Nothobranchius furzeri: one gene and its partners. The protein of the gene in region 3 purifies or fractionates together with the protein of the main gene of each other region. This does not show direct contact. Links are inferred from orthologs where the notes say so. Each region holds a gene or a part of one and is shown on either strand. Other genes may lie near its edges. The genes, in order: csgalnact2, slc30a6 and slc30a5.

Region 1 (10,654 bases), on a different chromosome or scaffold from region 3:
TTCCTGTTGATGAGTTTTCTGTTCAGGAAATGGGTGAATCTTTAAGTCTGTTACCATGGCAACACTGAAAAATCCCTGGGTTTCTACTCATCCCTTCCTACATGGGTGACCATTTTTTAAAACGATCTGACTGACAAAAGCAAAATTAATTTTGAGATTGTTGAACCTCCTTTGGATTGTTGGTTTGTTGTTTATTAGTTTTATTTTATTTAAAATATGAAACTATCAAAAAAGTTTTTTTGCCGTTCTCAAAACTGTTGGCCAGTGGCGCAACTATGAGGTGGCTAGGGGGGCCATGGCCACTCCTGGAAAGTAGTTCAACCCCCCCCCCCCCTTGATGAATCACATTCAAAATAATAAAAACTATACATTAATCTTTAATCAAGACATGAATGTTAAAACCAATGAATGTATTTTATTGATTTGATAAATAAAATTGAAAATTTGTTTGTAGCCGAGGCTAAAAAAAGTATTAATCCCAGTAATTTCCAGAATTTGATTAAACTGATCTTTTCCTAAGGTTGTTGCATTTTTCCCACACAAAGTTCAACAAAACAATGTTGATTAAGGTGTGAGTGTGAGAGAGAGATAAAATATTTTTTTAAAAACCCGACCGGAGCGGAGGCAGTGACCGACTCAGCACGAGCCGTTTTCAGCTCTGTCTTGTCAAATGCACCACGTACGTTACGAAAAAAGTAACTTTAAATATTAAATCGAAAAAGAGGCGAGCTGAAGAAAACCTAGGGAGTTCTGAAGAAACGTGAGCAACTGTGTGTGTGGGCCGAACTGAGCTCCCTCTTTCGCTCGTTGGCTTCTTCGATACGGTCTTCCCAAGGGACTGCTGCAGAGTTTTGTGTGTAGAGAAGGGCGGGCGCTCTATGTGACTGGCCAATCACAGAGCGTGAAAGCAGTCAGTTACCCAATGAGGATTTTTCTTCAGAACAATTACAGATATTTACGAGTTTTACTCGTTTCATGCTAGTATTCGTCAAAAATGCTTTATGCGTACCGGATAGGCTCATCCCTAGCTGTAACCACCCTGCCCTGCCTCCTCCTCCTTGCTGCCTGCCGGCTGTGATCACAAGCAACAACAGAGTGGTTCCCGCTGCTTCTTCGGGAAACAGCGCAAATTTTTTTTCTTTTTTTTTTTTAAATCCATAAAACGGGATCTTGTAGGCATGACGCCAGGATTTCAGCCGTGGCGGGCCGCCACGGCTACGCCTATGTCAGAGAAACACTGCATTTCTTTTTGATCTGAAACGTTTGTATTTCTCAGCTTAAAGATGAGGGTTAGGGTGGACGCGTAAGACTTGTTTTTTTTATTGAAAATGAACGAAGGAACAATGCAATGAACAGCTACAGGCTAAACTTTCAGATTTACCACAGGGACCCATTTGGTGTGCCACCCCAAAATGTTTACTGGCCCCCCCATTAAATTTTTCGGGCGCACCACTGCATGTTCAACCAACCATACTTAGAACCTTGTGTCTGATATTCATGAGTATCTTCATTAATTGCTAACAGTTGTGAAACATACCAACGCAATTATAAACAGGAGTGTTGCTATTTACGGTTTTCAGTGTAGAAACAGCAGGTGAAGCTGGAAGTTGGGCTCACATTCATGTGAAGCGGCCCTGGTTGGGTCACAAGAACGTTTCATTTCTTACCAACTGGAGTTCAATAGGCGGAGCCAGCTCCAAACTTCCATAAACGATGGCAGGATTATACAGGCTGAACACCACCGGGTAAAATACTTTCTTGTCTGCAAAACAAAGTCAAGCAAAATGATGTGAAAACAACGACGTTACCAAAACGAGAGAAAAACAATCGGATCCATGCCTACTTGGTGCAGTGTGCAGACGACAGGTGTTAAGGAAGTCCAACGTAAAGCGAATATCTACGTCACAGAAAAACATCAGCACGTCGCCTTTGTTCCACGTGTGGGCTCCGATATCCAAGCCTCGACCTCGGGAGAACTCCTCGTCCACCGGGATGAGGGTGTAATTGGAGAAACTCTCCTCCCTGTGGAACAACACACCTCGTGTCTATGGATTATAAACGTCTAAATGTGAGAGGAGCACCAAGAACCGACCTCGACATTTTGTCCAAAGATGATCGGACCTCCTGCAGACCTTCGTGGCCAAAATAAACCACCGTGAGATGAACCTGTCTGTCCTGTTGCACGCACACCTCTCTGAAAAGCAGGTCATTTCAAAATGGCACACTAATAAAAACCAGACTGATGTAAAACCTGAAAGGCAGCAGAACAACGTGATGGGTCATGTCTCCCCAACAGAAATTAGTGATTCAGCCTCACCTGAAGTTGTGCAAGAACTGTGAGAAAGTTTCAACTCTGCCCGCCAGAGGCACAATGATGTTGATGGTCATTCCTGAAGTTTCCACGGATGTGCTCCTGACTTTCATGACGGGACCGAACGGCCGGAAGAGCGTGACGTGGCGGAAACTGCTGGAATCCTCCTTGGAGAAAAACAGCTCGTAAAGCGTCCCTTTATCTCGCTCCGTCCTGTACAATCCTGAGGAACAGAAAAACGACGGAGTGAAGCACAGGCGACGCAGGAGATGCTGCAGGTCTTACCTTCTGTGAAGTGACCGTCTGTGTAGGTCTTCCTCTGCATGGCCATGTCCTCCTCCACACCATCCTCCTCATCAGGGTTGTTGATGATGTCCAGCGCAGCCTCAATGACCTCCACCAGCTCATCCCTGCGGTCTTTGCGGACCGGCTTCTCCTCCGGGTGCCGCGTCAGTCCCATCTCCAGCTGGTAGACCTTAGACGAGGTGAAACTCTCAAAGGGCACCAGAGCGTACTCGCTTGGCAGGCGTGCTCCCGTGTTGACCTCAGCCTTGTCGATCTGAGAGTGCAGGTACTCCAGCAGGTCTCCTGGCTCTTGGTCTTTGTTCTCCCCCAGACCCTGCACCCCCGGAGGCTCCTTCTTCTCCTGCATCAGCTTCAGCTTCTCACTCATCTCCTGGAGCTCCTGCTTGAGCTGGGCAATCTGCCGCTTGAGGCTGGAAGCACGGCTAAGGTGGCGCTCCTCATGTTCCTGCAGCAGAGCCTGGTAGTACTCCTTCCCGTAGGTCTCCCCCGCTAAGCCAGGCAGGACCAGGCTGACGTCTGCAGGTGGAGTGCACTCCAGCAGGTACATGAAGAGCAGCAACACCAGCAGCAGGAGGAGGCCCAGGAAGAGCCAGCGAACCCGGCCTTGGAACAGTAACCCCCGCCTGGGCATCACGTCCACATAAAACCTAAACCCAGCAAGGATGTCTGCATTCCCCGTTTCCTCTGCTTACATCACTCACTAAATGTTCCCACATAGCTTTTCAGCAACATCAAAATGCATAAATCTGGTTTCTTGTGTTCAAACGTTGGTTCTACCTGTGGAAAATACAGAAAATATTAATATATATGAGACAAAAAAATAAACCTGCAAGAGCTTTCAGACAAAAAAAAAAAAAAAAAACAGGAAGAGAGCAATATTTTATATCATGATGCAAACCTTTAGTTTGAAGTCAGCCTGCCTGCCAATTTCATTATGATTTCCTCAAAAACCTTTCAAAGAATCTCCAGCTTCCAGAAAAAAAATCTCGATTTGAAGGTTTAGTCCAGAAAAGCAGAGAACAGGAGGGGTTAGCTGCACCTGGAGAGCTAGCAGCACCCCCAAACAACGGCTCAGGAGAAAACCCCGGTGGTTCCACCAGCGAGTTTACACAAACTACACTTCCGGTTCACCTGGCTCCTCTTCAAAATAAAACACCCGCAAAGTGGTGAAAGAAAGAAAAAGATCTTTTAAATAGCGCCTGTCAAGATAAAATCACGAGGCGCTTCACGAAAACAAAATGTAAAAACTACTCGATTAAAATATGTTCAAAATGAGAAGAAATAGAACTTGTGATTAAATAAATGTAAGGAAAGGGAAATCAGTGGATCCCGGGAATGGTGGAATAAGAACAGGATAAGGAGCGGGTGGTGATGATGGTCACAACAAAGCCTGAACAGGTGAGTCGTCAGCTGCTTTTTAAGGGAGACCACTGAGTCCACTGATCTCAGGCTCAGGGGGAGAGATCCAGAGTCTGGGGGCCACAGCAGCAGATGATCCGTCACCTTTGGCCTTTAGCCTGGTGCTGCACAACCAGAGGGTGGGTGAGACAAGAGGTTCACCATAGATATTGGGTGTTACAACATATTTATTTATTGGTCATTTTCTTGTTTTTAACAAATTGTTTTTGTTGAACTAAAAAACTAAGTTGTGATTCAATATAGATTAGGTATAATTTTCTGTCATCACTTATGTTGTGAATTGGTGTTATATCAATTATTTGGCTTGAAATAAACAGTATATTTGTGTGCAAAGCCTTTTCAAATTTTCATATTTTTCTACCAGTAACCAAACACGAACATAACCATTTAAAACACTTAATAGTCTATTTGTTAATTTTAAAAGTAAAAAAAAAATGTTTTTCAATTTGTTTTAAAATAGAAATGATTCCCCCATACTCTGTAAAAAAAAAGTATCTAATAGTGATTCAAAAACAACTGGTTTATAAAACCTTGGACGAGAGGTGAAGCAGCTAAACGTGTCAGATGTGATGAGAGGTAAAGAGTTTCAGCAAGAATGAGATAAAAGGTGTGTGTAAACGACAGCCTGAGACCAGCCATGCGATAAGCTCTGGAGACACTGTCCATGAGGAAGGGGCAGGAGGCAGATGTGGAGGTTGCAAAGTTCAAGATGTTCAGGACCTCTTTGAGAGTAACAAGGACAAATAGGATCAGGAATGAGTCCATCAGATGGACAGCGCATGTTAGATGTTTAGGAGATAAAGTCAAGAGAGGCCAGACTGAGATGGTTAGGACATTTCCAAAAAGAGACGATGATTCAGGTCGAATGCCGAGGTTGGAGCCACCAGTCAGGAGGATGAGAGGAAGAACAAAAACGAGATTCATGGATGTGGTGAGAAAGGACAAAACAATTATTTGGAGGGTGGAGGACAAAACCCAACTCTGATGGAGCAGGTAGAAGTTTTCACCCTTGTAAAAAAAATTAAATCAAGGAAAATAGATGTATATTAAACTTTACAAACATTTGACAGACCCCAAAAGAAAGTCTTACAAAAACGGTTTGAATTCCTAATTAATCTCAGAAAATATTTTACACATTTAAACTGCTCACAAAAAGACACGATAAAACGTCTACATTTATTTTGAAAAAAGCTACACCGGATGTGGCCCCGACGCTTCTGCAGCTACTTTAGCAGCGTTTCAGGGCTTCGCGGCGATGCGTTCTGTTGTTTTGTGCCGACAAACGGCTCATTTCGCAGCAGTAGTGATGATTAAAGCGTTACCCACCTTGTTATGTCGGTGTCCATTTGTTCTCGCGGCCACAGCTCCGGCTGCGGTTTAGCGGAAGCACAGCGACGCCGGACAACTCCTGATAAACGCCACGGAGCACAGAGAAAAGAGTAGGTGTTTGCCTACTTCCGGTCAGCGAGGAACCAATCAGATTTCTAATCTGTCCTGTGACGCAAACAAACACGCCGCCTCTCCTGATTCATAATAAAAGAAAGAAAGAAAGAAAGAAAGAAAGAAAGAAAATGATCTTTTATATAGCGCCTCTCAAGAAAAAAATCAAGAGGTGCTTCACAAAAACAATTTAAAATATAATTTTTTTCAAATGATTAAAAATGTGTTTTGAACATAGGTTTTAAATGACAAAAGAAAATAAAAATTTGTAAGAAAATGTAAGTAAAGGGAGAGAGAGAAAGAATAGGAAAGAGGGAAATCAGTGGATGGGGGGAAAGGCGGGATAAGAGCAGAACAAGGAGAGGGTGGTGAAGGTCACACCAAAGCCTGAACAGGTGAGTCTTCAGCTGCTTTTAAAGGAGTCCACTGATCTCAGGCTCAGGGGGAGAGAGGTCCAGAGTCTGGGGGCCACAGCAGCAGATGATCTGTCACCTTTGACCTTTAGCCTGGTGCTGCACAACCAGTAGGCTTTGATCACTGGACCTCAGGGACCTGCTGGGGGTGTAGGGACTAAGAAGATCACCAATGTAAGATGGTGCTTGTCCATGTAAGGCCCTATAGACCAGAACCAGGATCTTGAAATGAACCCTGAAGTTGACTGGCAGCCAGTGAAGCTGGAGGAGAAGTGGGGTGATGTGGGTGTGTTTGGAGGACTTGGTCAGAAGCCGAGCACAGGCGTTCTGAACCACCTGTAGACGGTTCAGGGAGGTTCTGCTCAGACACGTGAAAAGAGAGTTACAGTAGTCTAAGCGTGAGGAGATGAAGGTGTGGAGAACTGTCTCAAGTTCAGAGCGGGACAGAATGGGACTCAGCTTAGCAACGTTCCTGAGATGGAAGAAGGAAGAGCCAACAAGAGAACCACAGCCTTCATTAAAATCTTAGCTTTGTTGTAATTTCAGCAAAAGAAAACCGTATTATTGTTTTTACCACAATATCAAACACATTTATTTTGATTGTATTTGTTTTCACATCATAAATGACGTTATGTAAGCTAAAGTGCAGCATAAACAACCTGGATTTAGTTAAACACATCACGAAGTCATTGCAATATTGTTTCTGCTTTGTGTCATTTTTGTGCTAACTAATGAAATAAAGTTGTTATCTTTGATGGTGCACTGCCTTACGAGTTATAATTGATTTAACACTAAAGAGGGGCGATGCATCACGAGTTTAATGTTCAGATATATCATCTGTTATCGTTACAACTCCAAAAATAAACTAGGAAATGTTCCCACGAGGCTCTGTATTGAATCATTCGTTTGCTCCTTCCTTTGTTATCATTGTCAATCACCAGCGCCAGGAAGATGGTGCAGGGCCGTGCACTTGTATCCTGTGTTTTATTCTTCTAATCAGTTTCTTGTCTTCACTCTTTTCTTATCTGCTATGTTTTGATAACAAATTCCTCACAGCTGCAGTAGAGTCAGCAGTAATTGGACTATGTGGAAAAATGAGCGAGCTTTCATATTACAGGTCAAACAAGAGTTAAATTAAGGCTTATATTCATGTTAAGCATGCTTTATTGAACTAATACTTAATACACAGCAAGGGCAAAAAAAAAAGATCACTCTCTAACATTTGTCTGAGCACCATTAGCCTTGATTACGACTCACATTCGCGGTGGCGTTGTTTCGATGAGCTTCTGCAACGTCACCAGATTTATTTCCACCCACTGTTGCATTAATGCTTTACTGAGATCTTGCATTGATGATGGTTGTCTGACCGCTGCAAAAAAAACCTTCTCACATCCCAAAGATTCTCAATGGGGCTCAGGTCTGGACTGTGGTGGCTGATCCATGTGTGAGAATGATGTCTCATGCTCCCTGAACCACTCTCACTATCTGAGCCCGATGAATCCTGCCATTGTCATCTGGGAATGTGCCCGCGCCATCAGGGAAGATGGAATAACCTGGTCATTCAGGATGTTCAGGTAGTCAGCTGACCTCATTCTTGGTGCACATCCTGTTGCTGAACCTAGACCTGACCAACTGCAGCGAGCCCAGATCATAGCACTGCCTCCACAGGCGTGTACAGTAGGCACTAGGCATGATGGGTGCATCACTTCATCTGCATCTCTTCTTACCCTCTGGGCTGGAACAGGGTCCACCTGGACTCAGACCAGTTTTAACGAAGCGTTGGACAGTTCTTGACCCAGTTTTAATCGTTTCTGCACCTCCTTAGATGTTTTCTCTGCTTGATGCATGCTACTGATCTGACCCTTCTCACACAAACAGCTTTTCCACAACCACCAGATGTGACTTTCCACATGGCTGGTTAAGAAATGAGAAGCAACTCATTGCACCAGTGGGGTTAAATACCATGATAATTGCTCATGCAGTAATTATCCTATAGGAGGCTTAGTTAAATCCAGGTGGAGACATTTTTTTGGCCAGACAGTGTACCATTCCATTCTATTTTAGACATCAGATATCATAAATGATTTGCTCCCTCAACAATGCTTCTGTTATTTTTTTTTTCTACGCTTTATTGTTTCAGCTCTGCTAGCCCAAAAACAAACAAAAAATGAAAACAGACTCACATTTTCCCAAAAACCATCTTGTCGATCCAAAGCCTTTTGGGGAAATATTCCTTGGACTGTTGAGACAAAACTTTGTGTAGGAAAACAGCATCAAACCAACAGCTGGGCATGGTGGTGGAAGTGTGATAATCTGGGGCTACTTTAAAGGAAGTAAACACCTTTTCACAGCACTGTAGTCATGATGACCGTTATTTATTTATGTAGAAATGACTAAAAATGTGAGAGCACAGAAGAAAATAGACCCTTCTGTGACACAAACTATATGAAATACTGAACAAATTACCGTGAACAAACTCTTTTTCATTTTTATTAATAACAAAAATCAAATAACATAACAGCAATACCACTCATTGGTGTACATGATCTTTACAGCTTATGGAAACATGAACTGTAGTCCGACAGCGGAGGTATCACACCCTCCCAGTGGAATAACAAGATGATATTATTAAAATCGGGGAAAAAAAAGGAAGAGTTCATCAAATATTTCTTTTCTTTGGCAGCTTTTAAACATGTAGCGGAAGATTGACAAAAAAGCAGGTCTTGGAGGTTTTTGAGGAGAACAATCCTGTAAGGTAGAGACTTCAGGTCCTCAGACCCAGCTCAGTGCTTCTCACTCCCACTACCGATGGTACAGACGTCCCCTTGGATTCCTGGGCTGGGACACGGATTTTCAACGCCACACACACACACACGGTCAGTTGGAGGCTTTGTAGAAGCAGCACAGGCACTTTCAAGACATTGACACTGACATACAATCTGGTACAATAGTCATGCAGTGATACAGTTCAGCCAACATGACCTAAGGGTAATAATTAACATCTAAAAGAAGCTTGGCCCACGTTCATCCAGATGATTCTGCAGCTAAAAGAAGCCTGTTTTAAAAAGCACCCGTGCAACAGAAATAAAAGGGGAACCAACTTCACCATCAGATTATGTACAGGCGTCTAGAAATACATCTACCAGTTAAGTCGCTTTTCTAGTGTTGATTTGCCTTTAGCTATCGAGATTGTCCACAGTTTTTGCAGGTGAGGGCAAAGCCATCCAGTTTGCATAAACACTATCATTGGCATATCTTGTAAAGACTGGATTAGTGGCATCGTGTCTGTGGAGGGGTACCGGACTCTTCTCAGGCCAGTTCGGGTATGACATGCCTAAAAATGAGAACATATCATTTTTCTGCACTCATTGAAAGGTAGACAGCGTGCAGACAGTAAGGCTCTCAAATCAAACTCGGTGGTGGCGAAAACGGGTCCTCCTGGAGGTAGAAAGTTTGTGCAATGAGATTAATTATTGATTGGGTTTGTTTTTATTATGTATGAAGGCTATAAATGTTATTCCTGCTGCCTTCCAGTAACTGTTGAAAAATGCAGATGTTAGTAACTGCTCCAGCACGAGCTGCACGGCGTCTCACTGGGCGGACTGTTGGACATTAAGAACGGTGAGAAAACACACACTCTCAGTGAGAACGATCACTTTTTTTAGCTCGTAAACACAAATCATCAGCCACACAGATGGAAGGAACTCATCAGCTACTGGCTGATGATTAATAACCAACTTCCCTGTTTGTTTTCAACACATCTGCAGGGGCCTCTAGCAAAAATGAATGCTCTGTGGGGAAAGAAGCTCTGGCGCTCCCGTTTCAGGAACTAGAAGGGAGCCTCGTTAGAGGCGAGTAAAAGACGGCAGGATCTGGAGTTTCATTTCCTGACATCTGGACATCTCTCCTCTGATAAGCTAACAGCAACGAGACTCTACCACGGATTCCGTTAGCTCTGCAACGTCGATGCTTTAGCTCCACAATGACCATGTTGATTTGACGGTGTGCTGGTGTCCCAGGCTTTTCTGATCAAAGTGTTCCCCGTTCACTGTCTATCGGTTGCTAATGCAGGAAATAGGGGTGGATGAGTATTTTCACATTTAGGCTACACGTTAAACTCAGAGTGACCGATCATATTTTAAAAAGAACAATTAAAAATGATTTCTCTGTGAACTTGGCCTTTAAGAGACTTTGAATGATTTTTGGTACAAAACAAACTTGTCTGAGTGTTTCAGAAACTGCTGAGCTACTGGGATTTTCACCAACAACCATCATTTACGGAGAATGGTCAGACTGACAGAAATACAACAGAAGCTGAAATAAGTACAGGCTCCAACAAGGGTCCGCAGAACCACAACAGCAGAAGCCCACAGCGGGGTTCGCTCCAGTCAGGAACCTGAAGCTACAATTCCCGCAGGATCACCAGACCTGGACCAGAAGAGACCGGAAAAGCCCCTCCTGGTCTGATGAGTCTGAATGTCATCTGCAACATTCGAACGATCAGGTCGGAATGGACCAAGACCTCAACCACGAAGAAGTTGGCAACTTGGAACTAGCAAGGTGGAAAAACAAATTACGACAGCCGCTTGAACTTTGTGCAAAGTGTCTCGATCGTGTCTCAAACCCTCCCAAAGTTGTCTCTTATCTCTCACACTTTTGGACTCTGAAACAAAAATAAGAACCACGTGACGACGCCGTGACACGAGAACATTCATTTGCGAGCTTATGCAAGGAAATATAGACTTCCTCGCCAGCAGTCGCTGTC
Region 2 (10,121 bases), on a different chromosome or scaffold from region 3:
ATTGGCGGCCTCCATGTAGTTCAGCATGCTCTTGCTGGAAATCATTTAAAAACTTCAAGTTCACATTTGGCCCATCCATACTGATGGATAGGAGGTTCTTCATGTCTAGCAGACACACACAATCCTATGAATACAATAAAATAAATTTTATTATTTGATATGAAAAAGAAAACCTGAAAACACCAACACCAACACCAACATGTTAGATTTGAAATGTGCTTATAGTAATTTCAAAATAAGCTTATTAAAACTATCTAAAAGCAAAAAAACTCAACAAAATGAACACATCTTGTCTCTTTAATTCATCTGAATACCACTTCATAAACAAAAAGTACAAACATACTCACTTTGAAATGGTGCAGCAAATCTTTAGCCTTTGAATGGCCCATAAACTGTGATCCAAGATAACGTGACTGGACAGCACCAGCCTCCCAAAATCGAATATGGACCTCTAGTTGTTTATTTTTTGTGGACTGGTTGAAGCTTTCATCAAACATCAGCACAAATGGTCCAGCGTTGTTAGCTGCAGAAATCAGTTCTTTTTTGACATGTGGGGCGAGTCCAAACTTTAAAACGTAGCTCGTCTTGTCCTTTCCACAGGTGAAAGATTTAGCTATTTCAGTATCCGAAAACATTGCCTGGAACAACTCCGAAACACCTTCATTGGATGCGTAGGAGTGGTGCTGCACGGCAGTGTACAGACACCAGAGCACCTCTGCCTGAAGTACCGCAGGTGATCCAAACAATTTTTGAAGCGTGCTTGATGTTCCGACGGCAGGGTTCGCAGCTGCAGTTGTGCTGCTTGTTGTGGTCGTGGTAGTTGCAGAAGATGTCGCGTTGCTAGTTACAGAAAAGTAACTAGTCACGGTTAGCTGCTGTCTGCCTTTTACGGCTGCTTTGTGGTTGTCCGACTGCATGTGCGATTTCACAGCGTTCACACCCATTGTACCAAGTTTAATACAACCAGCTCAGTGGCCTAATGGTAGAGTGTTCGTCCTGAGACTGGGAGATCAGGGTTCGATTCCTGGTCGGGTCATACCAAAGACTTTGAAAAAATGGGACCCAATGCCTCCCTGCTTGACACTCAGCATTAAGGGGTTGGATTGGGGGGTTAATCCACCAAATGGTTCCCGAGCGCGGCTTGTCTGCAGCTCACCGCTCCCCCAGGGGATGGGTCAAATGCGGAGAACAAATTTCGCACACACACCTGTGTGTGTGACAACTAATGGAACTTTAACTTTAAATTTTTTTTTTTTTTTACAAACAGTACAAAATCCTTCTCCATCTTGACCATTAACGGGCTGCAGCCATACCTTGAATTTATCGTTTTCCAACCACTTTTGCTGGAATTTGCATTTCCCCATTTTCCAAACGTTTACTCCTCACGATCCAGCTTCTTGTCCAACATCCGGTTTTACGACAATTCAACAAGAAACCGGTCGGAACAGAAGTAATAATCGAAATGGTTCCGCCAGCGTATTGACTCAAACATACGTTTCATACAATTTCACAACAAATCACAATAAAGACAAAAAAATTAAAATTATTTAAGAATATTTCTTGAAAAAATTTAATGCCACTGACAATCTAATTTAATGCTTTTTAATGCCATTTAAGGCCTTAATTTTAGAAAATTTCATTTAATGACTTTTAATGCTTTTTAATGCCCCGCATAAACCCTGTAATATTAACATGTTTCTTATCTGTGTGATTCCTAAATAAGTCATGATTTTGGGCTGATCAAAGAAAGAAATTAAATATTTTTTAACATTTTATGTGAACACATTTTAAAGCTAAACAATTTCCAGCTGCTCCATCCTGCTGTTTGAAAGTGGAATTACAACCGTCAACCCTAAACCTGCAGCAACCTGCTGTAGCTAGCGCCAACAACAAGCTAACGCTAACATGAGCCTGGTTGTACTGAACAAGCCAGTAAAAATATCCACACTGTTGGTCGAAAATATTCTTACTTACAAGTCCAGTAGCAACAAAGCCAGGTCGCCATCAGTCTGTGATTGTATAGTCGCCTTGAGCTCCCGTCAATGTTCACTCAGGTTTTAGTAAGTAAGTAAGTAAGTTTATTTATAGAGCGCCTTTCACAGATAAAAATCACAAAGCGCTGTACAACATGATAAAGATCAGAGCAAATACCTCTAATCAATAAAAACATCAGAAAAACAATAGCAGTGATAAAGTAGAAAATAAAATCATGAGTATAAACAAAGTGAAGGTGTGAACAAGAACAAAACCATCTTTTAGAAACATTAATGGAGGGAACGCCTGGATGAAAAGGTGAGTTTTTAGATGATTTTTAAAGACCTCTACAGTGTTAGAGAGACGGAGATTTGAAGGTAGACTGTTCCAAAGTCTGGGTGCAATAGTCTGAAAGGCCCTGTCCCCTTTGGTTTTCAGTCTGGTTCGAGGAACAGCCAAGAGGTTTTCAGATGTGGATCTAAGGTTCCGAGAGGTGGTGTGTGGGGATAAAAGCTCAGATAGGTAGCTTGGAGCCTGGTTGTTAAGAGCCCTATAGGTCAGGACTAAAACTTTAAACTGTATTCTATATTCTACCGGGAGCCAGTGGAGGGACTGTAAAACTGGAGTGATGTGAGCTTGTCTGCTGGATTTGGTTAGGAGTCTGGCTGCTGCATTTTGGGTGGCTTGATGGCGTGAGAGGGAGGTTCTAGGTAGGACGATCTAGGAAGGTAGAAGATGGTGACGAGGAATTAATGAACTGACGTGGGGGCGGTGAACAGCTGAGCGGATCTTCGGGAAGTCCCGCTGTCATGCCAAGAAGAGTCGAGCTGCAGATTCACGGGTCTCCAGGCCTGAAGCCATAAGCAGTCCTCACATCTTCCTCATTCCTCACTGGCCATGATGAGCTTGGTGTAAACATCCGCTCCTTTAGCTACCGATCAGCTGATGACAGCTTCAACACACCGCGCTGCTGAATTATAGTAACACGCATTTTCCTATCGGTAACAAAAACGGAGTTATGACAAAAGAAGACAGTACTTAATTAGATTACTTGTGACTGAAAAAACTAACTTCTGTTAGTAACGCTGTTATTCCCATCAAAGCGTGAAAGTAAATTGATTTTGATGCTGTGACAATGAAACACAAGTCATTGCCTTTGTGCTGAAGATGTGATAACGATGTTGCTGGTTCTGTTAGAATACCCGTTTCATTTCCACCCAACACTTAAGCAGTGAATATTTCAGATTTAAAACACTCAAACTTTTGAAAAAAAAAAATTAAGACTTAGTGGAACCTAGATCAGATAAAATAGGGAAAATCAATGTTTAAAAATGACTAAAACATCTCAAAGTTTGCCTGAAATGAGTTTGGCGTGAACGGAGCCTCAGAGTCTGACTGATCTGGGCGAAGGAGGTCAGGTCGTGAGAGGAAACCTCTAGTCTTTTGTTGAGTGTTACAGTGGGAGCATGTCTCCGTGCTAAACAGACTGATTAAAGAGACCAACCGATGATCTGACAAGCAGACACCCTGCAGGTTTACAGGTTTTACTCACAGTGTAGCGTGGACACACTCACAGATGACTGTGACAAAGTGCTCATTGTTCAGTCAGTCTGCCTGCATGCTGCGAGGTCAGAGGTCGCGATCTGCTCTGCCTGAGGTTAATCCATACAGACACCACATAAAACAACCTGCAGTCTGCTCCTATTGGACTCACTGTGAATGTAGTGATTATTCCAGCAGACAGGAGTCACATGGGCAGAGGAAGGTGACTTCACCTGCATCATAATGTTGTTGTTGTTCCTCCTTTAGAATTAACACATCCACAGTAGAGCTGAACGAGTCTAGGAAGTTATTTACTTCATGATTTTCTTCAAATCAGGTACATTGTTCATGATGTACAGCAATATTTACAAACATGACAGGAAATGACATCATACCATGGAAACATTAAAGCCATTAATCCAATAATAAGAAGGATGAAAAGTAAAAGCTCTCTAATGTTCTAAAGAACAAGAAACAAGCATGCAGAGTTTTACCAAGGAGGGACCTCTGGGGTGTTTTCATCACAAAAACACAGCTAGAACTACAAACATGGACACGCTATACAAACTTATTTTGGTTTGATACCTCTGAAAGTTTTTTATTGTTTTTGAAAGGAAAGAAGTCGTGCTGAGTCAGTAAAATGTTATTACATTATAATCCCCTACTGCTGTTGCAGGAAACCAGCAAATCAGCCTCTTTGTCCCTCCCCCTCACACATGAGCCCCCTAACCAGCATCACAGCCCAGCCGCTGCCGCAGCCATGACACTTTCAGGTCAGCCGGTATATAAACGTTTTAGCAGCACATTGATTGTGACACTCACTGTGTGTAATAGAAATTAAATAAGTCAATAAATCTCAATATTTATTGATCTTCAAATATAAAACAAAGTCAACAATAAATAAACAGTGTGTTGGGGTCCTTCAGGTCCTTTCTTCAGCCTAGTAGTTTAGTTTAGTTTTATTTGTCATATGCAAGTTAGCACAGGGTCAACATTGCAATGAAATGTGTTTGACGAGCAGCGGTCTCTCAGCAGCATAATACAACAGAAAAAAGAAGAAGGTATAATACAGTAAAAGCAAAATATAACAGAGTCATGTTAAAAGTAAAAGCTTACTAAATAGATAAGTAAGTATAGATGACTAAATATAAATATATCTAAAAAAAAGTGAGTAGTAACATTAAAATGAAGTAACCAGTGCAGATTAAATTTTACTTGTGGAGCTGCAGGGTAACATCTGTATCCTGTGTTGTGTGTGTTTAAGTGTGTGTTTAAGTGTAATGGTTGAGGTGTCGTATGGCTTGGTGGTAGAAACTGTTTTTAAGTTTCGTAGTCCAAGCAGGCAGACTCCTGTAGTAGTGGTGGCAGTTGGCCATATAGGTGCCAGATATTTTATTTTTTCCCATCGGCTTTTAAAAATAATTATGGCCGATGGTCGATATAGAAAAAAAAAAAAAAATATATATATATATATATATATATATATATATATATATATATATATATATATATATATATATATATATATATATATATATCGGTTAGTCTCTACTCTAAAACCACATTTTAGGGTGCTCCACATTGTGTGGACCAGCAAAATGTCCCCACAATGTGGAAATGTCCACACAGCAAAAGCTAAAGACAAAATGGGTCCACTCAAACACATAAAGAAAAGTGCGCGCGCGCGCGCACACACACACACACACACACACACACACACACACACACACACAAATGCATGTGAGACTCAAGTAAAGCTGAAAAGCAGATTTCCACTCGATCGCCATCCAAATCTCAGAGTCAGAGGTCACCTCTCAGATTGAAATGAGAGCTCAACCCTGTTACCGACAATGAACACACTCAGAAAGTGTGTGCCAGGATGTATTTTTGGGATAATCATTTACAAAGCATGACATTTACAGTTCTGATGACTGACGTAATGCTGGTAGTTAGTGGGTAACCCTACCTCTCTACAGGCAACATAGCGGTAGCAGGTAAGGAAAAAACTTACTTAGGAAATGAGAGTGAACTCACCCAAACGAGTACACCTGACTGGGTTTCTTCATGGTGACCCAGGAGCTGATGAGACAGGTGATCAGACTGCAGGTGAAGGACGAAGATAGAAGAAAGACGGACAAAGGGAAGGGTGATGGCAGGGAAAGAGGAGGAGGAGTGATTGATGGAGGGATGGAAGGAGACAGGCAAGAGACGAGCAAATAAGAAGAGTCAGTGAACGACAAGTGGCAGAGGAAAGAGTGGAAACAGCACAGAGGTCAACTAAAGTTCAGAGTTCATGATACTGGAAAACACTGGGCTATCTGAAAACAAAACTGAACAAGGGTGGAACTAAACTCACCTGAAGAGGTCGAAGATGGTGAGATATGTGTAGGCAGTTAAAGCTGAAACGAAACAGACACAAACCAAAGTCAACAGAAAAGTAACACATGCTAGAAGCTTGTGTTGTTTTCTGGAGGAACATCTTTATTTACAAGCAATGTAAAAATGTTTAGCAAAAAAAAGGTGTGATTATTTTAAAGGTCAATGATGTTTTTCTCATTAAGCAGAGTCTTATCTGAATCATGTCAGAAGCCAGTCTACACATTTCAATTTTGTGTGTTTAAAACTGATTCTAGCCATTCAGCCTACAGTTTCTACAATAGAATAGACTTTATTGATCCCACAGTGGGGGGATGATGTTCAGTGGGGGAGCTTAAACTGCCTTTAAAGTTTATTCCTTGGCAGGGGTGAAGTGATGCACCTCTCAAAAAATAAAATAAAATATATACACCAGAGATCCATCTGACCCCAAGGTTGGTTTATGCTTGACGCGTCCGCGAGGTCCGCATGGCTCCGCGCAGCGAAATTGCATCATTTTAACAACCACGCCCCTCCACCGCGCCTCCGCACGGCCCAAACTTTCCGCAACGCGCACCTAGGAAATTTTCTAACCACGCGGACGGTCAGACGAGGAAAAACATGGCGGACCGGCAAGAACTAGTATGGCAGAGGTTCGTAAATACAGACATTTGTATGATTCAGCTCTCAGAGATCACCGTGATCAACATGTTGTTAATAATTCTTGGAGAGAAATAGCTCGCACTGTCTGAAAAGACGAGGACGCTGTTAAAAATGCTGGAATGCCATGTTGTAAACAACAGTAATTTCTACTTCTACTATGGTGTAGTGTTGGATGCATGCTGTAGAGCTCCATGCTGCCCCGTTCAGTTTGGGAGAATATTGGCTCACCGCAGAGACAAGCCGCACGAACCATAAACGCTGCGAGTTGTGAGGCGCGTTCCATCCGCGAGCCGCATCACCAAGCGGAAAGTGAATGTGTCAAGCATAAACCAAGCTTAACAATGTGGGAGGGTTAAGCCTAGGGCACACTGGGGCCAGACGCACCACACTGTCATTTTAAATAGAAGCAATTATAGTCCCGCGTCCCAGAAGCGCCGCGGTGCTGAAGATAGGCGCCAGTTCTAGTGCCGCGGCTGCTTACAACATTGTGGAGTACTTTACAACAGACGTTATAACGCAGAGCAGCTTTAAGACACAAACTCAGCCGCAGTTTTGATAACTTTAGAGTACTATTCATCTTAAAATATTCTAATAAATAGCATGCTTACTCATTTTTTATGAATTAGAGTCTCAAAACAGGACGGCAAGTCTGACCACGTATAAACAATTGAGTAACTTCCCGCTTCCTGTTCTCAAGTCTCACAAGATGTTGTGACTATCGCACAACTTTCCAAGAAGCGCTCTGCGGCGTGGCCTGAGTGACCACTTGACTTCTGAAAACCACGGCGTGTCTGTCTCCGGGGTGACCCAGGCTTTAAAAGAATGATTTGAAGAACAATAAGCAGGTTAATGAGATTGTAACCAATGTTTGCTGAGATCAAGCTACTTGTATCACAAATACTGTTCATCACAGCTGAAACAAATATTTATGTAATTCTATTTAATTGATTATAAATAAAATGTTCCAATTCATTTTTTTTAAATAAGTGCGTTTTCACTTTTGACAAAAGAGAAACCAGAGAAAACACCAAAACAATTTCTAATTGTGGGAATATTATAAACTCAAGCCGATGGACGAGACAGCTAGGTTAGCACAAAGCTAGCGTATCACAACGCTAGCATTATACTAGGCTAGCATAGTGCTAAGCTAGCGTTTCACAACAGCATGACTTCCACAACCCATAATCTCAGCAAAAGGCATCCAGGAGCTTCATGCGTGGGCTTCAGATCCAAGACAAGGTGTGTTTTCTGGAAACATTTCACTGTCATCGCTAAAATCCAACAACCTCATACAAGTTTTAGTTTTCAGTCATCTTTGTTTGGAAAGATGCAGTTTTATCATATCTGAAAGGAACAACAACAGTGATCAAACCTTTGTTTGTTGTTATTGAAATAATGACCAATGTCAGCTGATAAGTTATCCTGCCTGACCACATCATGAGCTAGACATCAATGTAGAAAATATTGGTTGGTCCAGAAAATTACCCTGTGCTCTCATGATGGTGTTATTCTGGTTAGCTAATAGCAACACAAATAGTACACAAATGCTGGCGGGAGTGAAGCAGACGCAACTGAAATAGGATTTGCCAGATGGCCAAAGGAATGGACAACAACATTGGTACATGGCTGATTAGATATGTACTGACTGTTTGATGGTGTTACATGTGTTACTTTGTGGTGACCATGTGATCAAAAGACCGCTTCAGTGGTCTCGTCACTTACGTAAGGTAAGTGTCAAGCCCAAAAAAAAAAAAGTCGGTTTACTATTCATTTGGTTGGGAACGGGCCATGTGGCCTAAAATCAATGTTGTGATATATTTTGAAGTGCATGCGGTAATGATGTTGCTTGAAATAAAGATAATAATGACACAAGTTAGAAAAGCTCAGATGTTAAAACTGACAAGTTGGTGCCATAAAAGTGTCTGTGTGCAGCAACCCCCACAAACAGCTCCCCCCCCCCCCCCCCCCCCCCCCCCCCAGACACAAATAATTCTATTCTAGTGACTGTTGTCATACTTTCTTCACAAAGCTACAGATGAATGGGTGAGGCTTTTTTTGAATCAGTAACAGCTGTCACCGACTTTACTAGAATGCATCCTAGAGATGTTTCTGGCAGGAAATTGAATTTGTCATCAAGTTATTCAGTCAGGAAGCTTTTGCTGAGTCAGCACTTGGAGAACAGCCAGCAGAGCAGGTAAGCTGAAGGTTCAGTAAGTAAACCAATCAGCCAGCCAGCCAACAAGACAACAAATTAATCAGTTCGTTAACTGGCCCAATACTGAGAAAGACCTGGCTTAAATACAGCAAACCCGCCTGTCCATCTGTCTGTCTCCCTCCACTAGCGTCCGTCTTTTTGTTTGTCTGTCGGTCCTAAAGCCTGCCAACCAGCTTTCTGTAATCAGGCTGTGCTGCGGGGGAAGAGGGGGCAGGATTAGAGCGGCTTTGTGCTGAGAGGAACATTTTGTTTCCCCACTTCCAGAGTCCATGTTGGCCAACCTGACGCCCTGTGATGCTCCTGACAGAGAGGCCCGCAGCAAAGACCCACAAACCAAACAGGAGTAGTGGGTCGACATGAGGAGGAGGACAGATGGATGGATAGAACATCGAGGTAGATAGATGTACGCAGAGAAAGGTGAGGAGGCAGGAGGCAGGATGATGGACATGTGGATGGACAGAAGGACAGAGGAAAAGTGAAAGAGGGACAAGGAGGGTGAGAATAGCGTTGGCAGACTGAAACGGAAAATATCCAGGAAAAAGAATCCCCTCACAGACATCAGTAAGAGAAACCTGTTGGATGGTTAGTTTTCCACCATTCCTCACCAGCATGTAGCAACAAGAAGAGAAAGGTGTGCACCATAGGCTCACTCACGGATGATAGAAGACCGTAGAGGTCACAAACTTGACTCTTCCGTGTAGCTCCAACAGGACTTTATTTGGTCTCCAAGTCCTCCCAAAGTTGTCCCGCGTTTGTCCACATTCAGAATGTCAGACGCTAAACTGAGACGTGTCCCCGACACCTGCGACCACTCTGATTGTTGTCAGACAACATTGGTCTCAACTGTTTAGAAGTGATTTAACAAAAGAGCACACCACACACCAAAACATATGCCTGATGTTTGCAGACCTTTTAAAAAATCCCAAAAGAACGTGGTTTGTATTGTGCATTAAAACCTCAGTGACAAACTGGTTTTTGCTGTATTTCACGTTTAAGTTTATTTGAAAAAGCGGAAAAAGGAACTGATCCACATGATACCAAGACTGATTTCTGGGTCCTGTGCACCTCTGACCCACCCATACGATTTGCTAATGTGTGAAATATTTCACAATAAATATATGTTTGCAGACGAAAACTAAACAAAAGTAAACAATATATATCTTGGTTGAAGACTATAACGATGATAAAATTGACAAATAAAAAATAGACAATCATGTAAATCCAATCAGAAGCAGGGCAATTAACTGGTGTGGCCGTAAACCCACCACTGACTGTTTGCTCTGATGTTTCATTTCCACAAGTAACACCAGCCTGGAGAAGTTCTGCTGTGTGGTGAAGTTGCTAATGCTAACAGTTAGCTTCTACTAGCAGA
Region 3 (10,640 bases):
GCTGCTAAAGCTACGGATAGCAAATGCTACGGGCGATGCCTGAGCGTGAACGCGCATGAAGCAGCCTGCTCGACCCGAGCATCTCTCTTTTTCTGTGATTTTACAGAAAAACAGGCAATCACAGTAAAAATGCCAGGGCTCATTCTACAGGACCAGGGCATTGCAGGAGAACGTATGAAGAAGACATTTATTATTTCTATACATGTTTTGGCTGTCACACTTCTGTAATGTCCGTTTAAAGTAAGTAGTTACTTAATCTTTTTAATCGACCTTCGCAGCATAATTTATAAACTTTAATAAAATTATGAAAACAACATTTTAACTTCAGCCAAAGGCTCTTTTATGACCTCAACAGGGAAAACGGCTAAAATAAACATGTTAATGTGACATGTATTTAAATGACGCTTCTAGATTTTACAGTACATCGGTGGTGAAATTAAAAAATGTAAGTTTTGCTTCTTTTACATGAGGGGCGGGAATCTTCAGGAACATCAAGATTCCATTCGATTACGATTGAGGGAGCTCCGATTATCGATGCGTCTTTCTCCGCCCTCACCTGGTTGCCAAGTGATTACTTAAGAAAAACATATGTAATTATGAATCATTAATTTAATTCCAATATCTTTTATTAACATAAGTATCAGTGCAATGTTTTAAAGAAAAGTGCTGCTGTCATTAACAGCTTCCAAACAACATGATGCTGGATGTCCAATTCATTTGAACATGAATAACTGTTCTTTTTCCAGAAATAAATACGATTAGACAACAACATTTGAGTATAAATTAGGGATGCGCTGATACCGATACTGGTATCGGTACAGATACCGATGCGATACTGGTATCGGTAAAAGTGAACCGATACCAATGCAGTTGCTTGAAAATGGCTTCACTGTAACTTGTCATTTCTGTTCACCTAATATTTTAGTGTTGTGATGATTTCCATTCATATATTTTACTTTTTATCTACCTCACAGTCTTTTCCTGTTGAAAGCAGAGAAGAAAATCTGTATTCCAAATCATTGCCTTATTTGTGTGGTAGAAGTATCGGTATTGGTTATCTGCGAATATTCAGATCCAAGTATCTGTATCATATCGGTTTGGAAAAAAGTGGTATTGTTGCATCCGAAGTATAAATACCCTCGACAAGAACTTGTATAAATAAATGCGTAAAACAGGAAAGAAATAAAGCGTACGGACGCAGACCTTTTGCGATAAAACTTGCTATGGGCTTTGTAATTCAGTTCGCCTGATCAGAGTTTGGTGGAAATTTTAACGACGCCTGCTCCGTAGATCTCTGGTTGGTGGCGGCAGCCGCAGCTACGGCATCTTTTTCTCCTCCTTCGGGTGAAAACGATCAGCGTGGTTTCTCGTGTTGGTTTTATTTTACACAACTTGAACACCGTATGGCTTTGGTCCGGGTCCCGTTTCCCCTCAAATATCATGAAAACCAAAGTCATTCCACACGCTTGCTTTTAATGTTGGCGGTGCTGGCCGTGTTCCTCAGTCGGCCATGTTGTCCTGTGCAAACTGTAACCGTTCCGTCCAAGCACCAGACTTCCTTTTAGCCGAGTTCCACTTTTAGCGCCTCGTCATAAATAAAATTGATTTTTTACTTTTTTAAATCGATTGATAATCGTTCCTGTTCGCATCTCGATGCAACTAAAAATCGAGTTTATCTCCCATCCCTATTTTACATCAAAGATGGCACCTAGGGTTTGGAATGGAGGCGTAACGTCTCCTTTTATCCGTCGGACCGGTTTACTCACCTCTGTGGTCGCTGACAACACCACGACCCACGGCAGCAGAACCGCAGCAGAAACCAGGTTGTCCAGGGCGTAGAGCCGCTTGCAGCCTCCGATCTCCACGGACAGTTTACGGGACGCCGTGTGGAAGGCTACCTTCAGACACACCGACGCCACCAAAAGCACAACGCCGCCCTGACAACAGATACACGGATCAGAAGGAAGTCCTCGCTACCAAAACCCAAAGCTGCTTTCCGTACTTTGTGATCTGCGACTCCTAAAAATGAGATGGTGGTGTAGAGGAAGTGTGTGAGCGTGCTGTCGTGATGTCCCTCAGCTGATAGCAAGATCAGTCAAGGCTCGAACGGTGCAGAACAGAACCACAGGGATTAAAACACGGCGTGGAACCAAGGATACGGTGATGGTGGTCTCCCATCTTCACCATCAGGTCATCGTTATCAAACAGCAGGAGGCAGATCACGGCGATGATGAAGAAGGCCGCCCCCCTGGTCTGGCAGAAGAACACGGGGAACATTATTTCAAACCTGTTAGAGGAGCAGGAGAGGCTTTCCAAGAGGAGTTCTGCCGTTTATCTGTCAGCTATATTAGCAGCGGAGGGTGTTCACTGCTTCCAGGGTGGTGTACTCTCTTATCCACAAATCAGAGCTCTTGTATCTGAGGAAGGTGTGGTTTCTGAGGTTTGTTGGTAAAACCTCAACATGTCAAATTCCGTCTGGTCAGTAAATCATAACGTAGGATTTAATAAAACTAGAACCACTTCCCGAGCTGATTCGGTTTGAGCAGAGCTTCGGACCGGCCAACCGGAGCAACACTCGTTGAACCACCGCATCTTTTGACAAGCCGTCAAAGCTGACACAGCAAACGGTTCCTTCAGAACCAAGCCGACACCGCGCCGACTCCTTAAAGGTCCTTCCTTAGACGCAACAGCTAGCTGTGGTGACCTGGAGGCAACTCGAGACCGGTCTAGTGGCGCTGCCGTTTCTCCTACGGACTTCGGTACTTTTGGGGTCCACGGACTTCCTGACATTCCGGATCTACAACGGCGTCTCCGACAGGGTACGTAGGCGCGACAGATTGCGTCTGATGCTGTTTTATAAACCATCACTTCCAGTTCACAGCAGACCAAACTCAATCCCACTCAGAACTCAGTTTCTTCCAGATACGACATCACATTACACTACAACACACACTCCAACTCACATAACCGTTTCCTAGTTGTCAGGTTTTATAATTTGTTTAGAAAATAAATTTCTTACTTTTTATGAACTTGACTGTCTGAATTAATAGGAAGTGTGTCACGGTCCCTGAATAAAAAAACAATCGGACCGGAAAAGGGTGGCTTGCCACCTCCGGGTCGGGGGAGAGGTCCTACCTCAAGTGGAGGAGTTTAAGTATCTCGGGGTCTTGTTCACGAGTGAGGGTAGGAGGGATCGGGAGATCGACAGGCGGATTGGTTCGGCGTCTGCAGTGATGCGGACGCTGAGCCGATCTGTTGTGGTGAAGAGGGAGCTGAGCTGGAAAGCCAGGCTCTCGATTTACCGGTCGATCTACGTCCCAATCCTCACCTATGGTCATGAGCTTTGGGTAATGACCGAAAGAACGAGATCACGGATACAAGCGGCCGAAATGAGTTTCCTCCGTAGGGTGGCCGGGCTCAGCCTTAGAGATAGGGTGAGGAGCTCGGACATTCGGGAGGGACTCGGAGTAGAACCGCTGCTCCTCCGGATCGAAAGGAGCCAGTTGAGGTGGTTTGGACATCTGGTCAGGATGCCTCCTGGACGCCTCCCTGGGGAGGTGTTTCGGGCAGGTCCTGCCGGCAGGAGGCCCCCGGGTCGACCCAGGACACGTTGGAGAGGTTACATCTCCAATCTGGTCCGGGAACGCCTTGGGGTCCTGCCGGAGGAGCTGGTGGAGGTGGCCGGGGAGAGGACGGTCTGGAGCTCCCTAGTTGGGATGCTGCCCCCACGACCCGGACCCGGAAAAGCGGAGGAAGACGGTGACGACAACGATATGGAATCATCAAATCTTATTCATCATAATTAAAATACATACGTAGAATAACACTACAGCAATAGTCCCAGTCCTCCCTGCTGGATCTCTGGTTTAGGCACCAGTGGAGTCTCTCTCCTAAACTCTGAGTGGAGACAGGGTCCAGAGAACTCCTGACCGCAGTACGAGGCTCCGTGGTTGTTATGCAGGCGTGTTACGTTCGGGTTTAAGGCAGAAAAGGGGGTCAGCAACAGGTCAAAGGTAACATTTAAGAACGTTTTTTATGATTTTCTGTCAGGATCCATTAAGTCTGGTGGATTTTATCATTTCAAAACTTCCAAACGTAGCTTGATGGAACCGATTTTCCAGGAACATCTACCCGACCTTTTAAACTTCTCTGAACCTTAAACGTTTCTGGAATGTTTGGGCTTATTTTAATTTATCTTAAGCAGATTGATGAGTAAAAGAGTATCAGGACTGGCCAAAGTTTGGGAGGTTTTTACCTTAGATGGTCCTCCTCCCGAGTTTGTGAAAAGAACGCCAAGGAGGGCGACGATGACCACGTCGCTGTGCTCGAAGAGCAGCAGCGTCCTAAAAAACAGGATTTTAAAAACAAAACACTGGAAGTTTCCTTCTGTAGCGCTGACGTAAATAAAATAAACCCAATTAAACTCAAGAGTTTAGAGGGATCCAAATGTTTACGTGACTGTAATAAAAACGATCAGGTTCTACCTTAAAGGTCCACAGAGAGTCAGACCGAAGAATCCCAGCAGGGAGATGATGCAGCTGAAAACGGCATGTTTCACTAATTTAATCCACTGGAAAGAAAAACAGATGAAAACAGTTTATTACGTCACAACAAGCTCTTAAACATAAACAAATGTTTGTTTTAACCTTGTGAAGAGCCGATGAAACGCGTTTAACTCCCGGAGAAGCTTCGCTTTTACAAGAGGCCGAGTTTTTCACATGTTTAACGTTTATGTTGAAGGAAGAGGGTGTACTTGATCTGGGGTTTCTTGACCCTTTGAAGGACTAAATAAATAAATTAAGGGTTTATGTGGAAGTTTTCCAGAAAGACTCCGATTTTAGAAGGTTTTCTTTTTTTTGACGACAAACTAAAGCTGATTTAAGCAGCAAATGGAGAAAAAAAACACCTTTTTCTCCTGATTACTGAATTAAAAACTGGAACCCAACCAGGACTGTTTTGTTCCACCGGATGAAACGAGAACTGAGAAGGGAACCAGACTGACCTGGCTCCTTGAGATGACTTTTCCAGATGAAAAGGGCTTTTGGAAAAACAGCAGAACAACAGCGCTCCTAAAAATCAAAACAAGAGTCAGCATGTCGTCCGCCTGCGTCCGACCCTGAAACAGAGAGCTGAAGTACTCACCCCAACTTCAATATGAAGATGAACTGAACTATATGAACAACTTTTAGGATATCATAAGATTCAAAGATCCCTAAAGCTTTGAGGACCTTAGAGATGATCAGCAGAACGATGTACCTGCTCAACCTGCGGACGGAAGACAACAGAAAACATCATTAGTGACACACAGAATTATGTAAAGTTAAATGAGGACAGAAACTGATTTGTGGCCCACAGAAAATGTATTTTACACCCCTGCCAGGTGATTTGACAGCATCTTATAACATTAGCTAATGCTATTACATAATGATGTAAGTAGGAAGACCTAAGTCCACCCTTCATGCTTCGATAACAGCTGCTGATCAGATGTATTCTTTATAAAATTAGGGGTTGTTGTGAGTCTGGAGCATACAGGTGTGTGTTAACGAAGGAAAAACATCCCAGAGCAGGTTCCCTCTGTGGTAGATAATAAAAGAGCTCCTGCTGGTATGACAAAGGGACAACTAGAAGAAAACTGAACAAATGTGGCGTGTACAGAAGGGGCTTATTGCAGCCACCTGGAGCTGAGATCTCATTTCTTTAGTTATGGTCCAGATCACGTGACCTTAGAGGGGGTAGAAGCAAAGCAGATGACATGATCTTCCTCTGAAGGAGGAGCAGACACGTCCTTTGAGACGGGGTGAAGCGCTCCATCCTTGTCGTAGAGCCTCTCCTCCTCATAGAAAGAACTCAGCTGAGATTGTAGAGAAATCTGACATTCAAGCCTTCAGGATACAATGAGCTGGAGGTATTCCACACATGTCCCACTGGGAAGAGACCCGAGGACCACCAGGAGGGGTATCATGTGTTCTGGGAACGCCTTGGGTTACCCAAGGAGGAGCGGGAGAGGATGCCTGGGTTTCCCTCCTTAAACCGATACTTCTGTGCTTTAAACAGCTATAAAGACATGTTTTACCTTGAATCAGGCACTTCGACCATTCCCAGTCTTCCACCCGACAGGACGTTGCTGCTGTATTTATCCTCCATCTCAAAGCTCGCAAAACCGACCAGTGACAGCAAAGTTATCCTCTTCAAATCCTTCACAATTCAGTCAACAATAAAAGTAACGACACAAATCCTCCTCCGTTTACCGCTGAAGTAAACAAGGCCTTAGTTTTCTGTTTGTTCTTCATTCTGCCGGCTAGCTCAAGCTGCTTTTGGCATCACGTGCTCCGTCTTCGTTCTGACTCAGATTCCCATTTAAGAGCGTTTTAGAAACACAAAATAATACTTTTTTCGTCTAAAACAAACAAAAGAATTAATCGGAAAGCTCTAAAATGAGAAGGAAAAATATCCTGATTGTCCCTAAAGCCATGAAACTTCCGTATACGTCAAGCTTTGCACCTCACGCGAGAAAATCCGAGAACGTGTCTGCTGCGCATGGCGGCTGCGCAGATCTGTTAGGTGACTGAAGGGGGAGTCGGTTAGATGTAATTTCTGTAACTCGACCGTATGAAAATGGTCTAACTCACATCTTTGCTTTAATATATTATCATGTGGACTTCTAAACGTGTTACATAACTAAATAACACGTGCAACAGCTACAAGAACATTTCATCTGAAGGAACTGCATACTGTTTATTTTGATCAATCAAGTGTTATAAACTCGTCATGTCCTGTGTGCAGGTCGCAGGGTTTATAGTGTTTTCTGCCACTATTGCCTTATGTGTTGTTAACGTTTGATAAGAAAGGGGCTTGTGGGCATGAAAGTTTAGTTCGTCACTGATACGATCTACAAAAAATAAAAACACCCTTGAGATTCACGTTTTATCATGTTTTCCCCAAAGCTGATCCAACGGCATCAGAAAATGAAACACCCATACAGGCGGATCAGAGCATTTTTCTGGTTTTAAAGCAAAATCATTTAGTGAATTTAAAGGGAAATAATGTTTTCAGATTAAACTGAACCTTGCTTTAAATTTTCATTGTTATTTCTACTGATGATCTAACGTAGCCTGGCAAGCCAGACTAAATAAATGTATTATTTAGTCTGGCCACGCTCCATTGACGGCTCTCGGTTGTGGGGCGGGTTCTACCGTTGTCTTTCAAATGATCTCCGCATTCCACTGGACAATGAATGTGACATACTCTTGTTTCACTCTGTTGCATCATCCCACCCACCAGGCATATAGAGTGCCCTGATTGGCCCACAAAGCGGATGAAGCTCTGTGATTTGTTCACTAGGCAGATAGAGCACTATGATTGGCCCACCATTATGGACCAATCACAGCTCTTTATGTGTTTGAAACCCCTCTAGAGAGCTGTGATTGGCTAGCCAGAGTCCTGGTAGGAGCTGCTGAGGTTTCAATGGAGCATGCCTAGACCATTCTTTGCAAAGCAAGAATTTGGTCTAGTTCACTAGGCTAGATCTAACGCCTTTGTGTGGAGGAACGGGTCCTCCCGACTGTGGTTTGTGCTTATGCACCAAACTGCAGCTCAGACTACCCACCCTTTTTGGAGTCCTTGGAGGTCCTGGAGAGCGCTCCTTCCGGTGACTCCCTCTTTCTGCTGGGGGACTTTAACGCTCACGTGGGCAACGACAGTGAGACCTGGAGAGGTGTGGTTGGGAGGATTGGCCCCCCAATCTGATTATGAGCAGTGTTTTGTTACTGGACTTCTGTGCACATCATGGATTGTCCATGACACCATCTTCCAGCTTAACGGTGTCCATGTGTGCTCTTGGCACCAGGATACCTTAAGCCACAGTTTGATGATTTACTTTGTTGTCGTTTCATCTCATCTGTGGCTGCATGTGTTGGACACTCGGGTGGAGAGGGGTGGAGCTGTCAACTGACCACTACCTGGTGGTGAGTCGGCTTTGATGATGGGGGTGGGGGGGGGCGGACCTAAACTTGTGAGGGTCTGCTGGGAACGTCTGGTGGAGTCTCTTGTGAGAAGGAGCTTTAAGGGAAGCCTGGGACATCGAGTCACTGGCCCATGTTCAGTGCTTCCATTTTCCAGGTGCTTGGCACCGGCGGTTAGGGATGCTGTCAAGCTGAAGAAAGAGTCAGGTCTTATTGGCCTGTGGGACTCCAGAGGTAGCTGATGGGTACCGGCAGTCCAAATGGAATGTGGCTCGGGTGGAGACCCAAGGGAATACCCAGGACACTCTGGAGGGACTGTTTCTGTCAGCTGGCCAGGGAATACCTTGGGATTCCCTGGAGGAGCTGGCCCAATTTGAGGTAACTGCTTCCGCGACCTGACTCCAGATAAGCAAATGAAAATTGATTGATGGATTTAACCTTTAATGTGCTTTTAACTCTATCTGTCGTGTGTTTTTAGCATGGTTTTATTCTGTTATGCCGTGTTCAGCATTCTGGGCGTCCTTGTCAAACAGAGCTACATTCATAAAGCTGATCATGATGGAAAGAAGGAAGGCTGGGATACGTTTGCTTTATTAGAAGACAGAAAAATGGTGTCAGGGTGAGCCGTCTCCAGTTTCACTGAGCTCCACACAACCCAAGCAGGACTTTCTGGTACTCTCCCTTAGTGTCAGCCTAGAAAACAAAAAAAGGAAAAAACTTATATTTGTATTAATTCATACTAAAAGCCAGAATGGAAACACTATAACAGTTATATTTCTACCACTATGTCGTCCTGTAGGCTTCTCCCAAACATGGCTTGGTATTCCTCCACTATCTTCTTCAGGTCGACCTCAGAGCGGCTCACCAGAATCCTGATCAGTGTTCTGTCTCGGGTACCAACACCCTGTTGGAACAAAGCAGGGTTTCAGTTGTAGAAGTCATGAAATGCTACGATTACCTAGTCATTCTCACAATATTAAACAGACCTCTCTATATATCTATATTTATTGTAAGAGCCATAATATTTGTTGGGCGAGTTGATTACTGGGTTTCCGTTCTCTTTTTCTATGCATATATTTTACAAGTGAGAATGGAAAAGGTGCAAAAGTCCAAAAAAGCTAGCTTTTAAACAACTCTCGCTCCTCCCGTCGGCAAACATCCCCAGGCCATGCCCGCCTTTTAGGAACTCTGGTAGTTTGTCCTTAAGTTGAAGTGGTAGCAGCCAGCTGGTTACAGCAGAACTAGATGGGCTCCGAAGAAGTGAGAGGGCGCGTACCCTGACAGAAAGGGGGAGAGCATACCAAGATGAGAGACTGAAGCACATTCAACGCAGATACAAAATCATCTAAGTGGAGGTGTCATGCACGAATAGGCAAAGAGTTATTAAGTGGTGATTCTTCTAAGGATGAGTTAACTGAGCTTATTGAGAAAATCAAAGGCACCTGTTCTGATGTAAAAGTAGTTTATGAGGAGCTGCGTCAAGTTCAAACCCCTGAACCAGACCTGCGGCGCAGGGTTGATACATGCATGTCATTCTCAGAATGTATCATTCAAAGAGCAGAAAGACAGCTTAAAGGTCATGAAGCAGATAAAGATGAAGAGTCTTGGCCTGACGTTGGATCCGTTCTAGGTTCAACAGGTTCTGTTTCTAGACCACTGTCTCATCAATCAGGATGTAGTTCTACCCACTCTTGCAGCCACTCTGTCAAAAGAATAGAGGCTGTAGCTGAAGCTGCTGCAACTCAGGAAGTCTTGGCAGTGTTGGAGGAGCAAGAAAGAAGCAAAGACCTGCCTCATTTGGCATTTCTAAAGATTCCAAGAAGCTACCTTCCATCAAACTTTGGTGAAGTCTCACTATATGAGCTTCACAACTTTTCAGATGCAAGCTTCAAAGGGTATGGTGCATGCTCATACCTTAGATTGGTGAGTGAAACAGGACAAATAAGTTGTTCCCTTGTCTTGGGGAAAGCAAGAGTAGCCCCTACCAAACTAACGACCATCCCAAGACTTGAGTTGTCTTCAGCTGTGACCTCAGTTCGCATTGGTGATATCAGAGGCGAGCTGGAGATTGAGAATTTGCAAGAGTATTACTGGACTGACTCAACGGTGGTCCTTGGCTATGTGAACAATGCTGCTAAAAGGTTCCAAACATTTGTGGCCAACCGCATCCAGCGAATAAGATCTAGAACAACACCTGAACAATAGCGATATGTCAACTCCGAAGTCAACCCAGCTGATGGAGCCTCATGAGGATTGACTGCAGTTCAAATTAAAGAATCCAACTGGCTGAAAGGACCCACTTCCTTTGGCAGCAAAATTTCCCACATGAAGTGGGAATGGTGGGAGAAGTTGAGGCTACTGATCCTGAACTTCGGAAAGTACATGTTCATGCAGTTAAAGCAAGAGAACAGAATCCAGTGGTAAACCGTTTAAATTTTCTGACTGGTCCAGAGTGGTGAGAGCAATTGCCAGGCTCAAGAGATTTGTCAGAGAATTCAAGGGATTTCAGTCGATAACTAATGAGTCAACTAATCTTGAACAAAGAGAAGCAGAGGTCTTCATTTTCAAACTCGTACAAGGAGACGCGTTTGCTGAAGACAAAGAAAATGAGAGGGACAAAGAAAATGAGAGGCAAGAAGGAACACACTTTGAGCAGGCACAACAGGCCCGCCCGCAGCC

The links.
Region 1: the proteins of slc30a5 (region 3) and csgalnact2 purify together in Homo sapiens (co-immunoprecipitation; 3 studies listed by BioGRID and IntAct, counting the BioPlex papers as one, with this or other methods). This does not show direct contact. The link is inferred for Nothobranchius furzeri from reciprocal best matches to the Homo sapiens genes SLC30A5 and CSGALNACT2.
Region 2: the proteins of slc30a5 (region 3) and slc30a6 purify together in Homo sapiens (co-immunoprecipitation; 5 studies listed by BioGRID and IntAct, with this or other methods). This does not show direct contact. The link is inferred for Nothobranchius furzeri from reciprocal best matches to the Homo sapiens genes SLC30A5 and SLC30A6.

What each region holds. Positions count from the first base shown.
Region 1 is NC_091752.1:5,682,561-5,693,214, forward strand, and holds the start of csgalnact2 (chondroitin sulfate N-acetylgalactosaminyltransferase 2), read right to left. Parts: upstream 5,498-10,654; 5' UTR 5,363-5,497; intron 3,678-5,362; exon of another isoform or gene 3,516-3,677; intron 3,395-3,515; 5' UTR 3,249-3,394; coding exon 2,597-3,248; intron 2,535-2,596; coding exon 2,318-2,534; intron 2,195-2,317; coding exon 2,093-2,194; intron 2,023-2,092; coding exon 1,844-2,022; intron 1,763-1,843; coding exon 1,668-1,762; intron 1-1,667. Other genes in the region: proto-oncogene tyrosine-protein kinase receptor Ret, read right to left, coding at 9,066-9,223. UniProt on the Homo sapiens protein: Transfers 1,4-N-acetylgalactosamine (GalNAc) from UDP-GalNAc to the non-reducing end of glucuronic acid (GlcUA). Required for addition of the first GalNAc to the core tetrasaccharide linker and for elongation of chondroitin chains.
Region 2 is NC_091752.1:45,300,969-45,311,089, reverse strand, and holds part of slc30a6 (zinc transporter 6), read right to left. Parts: intron 5,916-10,121; coding exon 5,873-5,915; intron 5,617-5,872; coding exon 5,551-5,616; intron 1-5,550. UniProt on the Homo sapiens protein: Has probably no intrinsic transporter activity but together with SLC30A5 forms a functional zinc ion:proton antiporter heterodimer, mediating zinc entry into the lumen of organelles along the secretory pathway.
Region 3 is NC_091746.1:73,786,430-73,797,069, reverse strand, and holds the start of slc30a5 (proton-coupled zinc antiporter SLC30A5), read right to left. Parts: upstream 6,365-10,640; 5' UTR 6,145-6,364; coding exon 6,074-6,144; intron 5,266-6,073; coding exon 5,143-5,265; intron 5,070-5,142; coding exon 5,003-5,069; intron 4,571-5,002; coding exon 4,485-4,570; intron 4,344-4,484; coding exon 4,256-4,343; intron 2,254-4,255; coding exon 2,160-2,253; intron 2,080-2,159; coding exon 2,003-2,079; intron 1,938-2,002; coding exon 1,767-1,937; intron 1-1,766. Other genes in the region: annexin A1, read right to left, coding at 8,598-8,654, 8,743-8,865. UniProt on the Homo sapiens protein: Together with SLC30A6 forms a functional proton-coupled zinc ion antiporter mediating zinc entry into the lumen of organelles along the secretory pathway.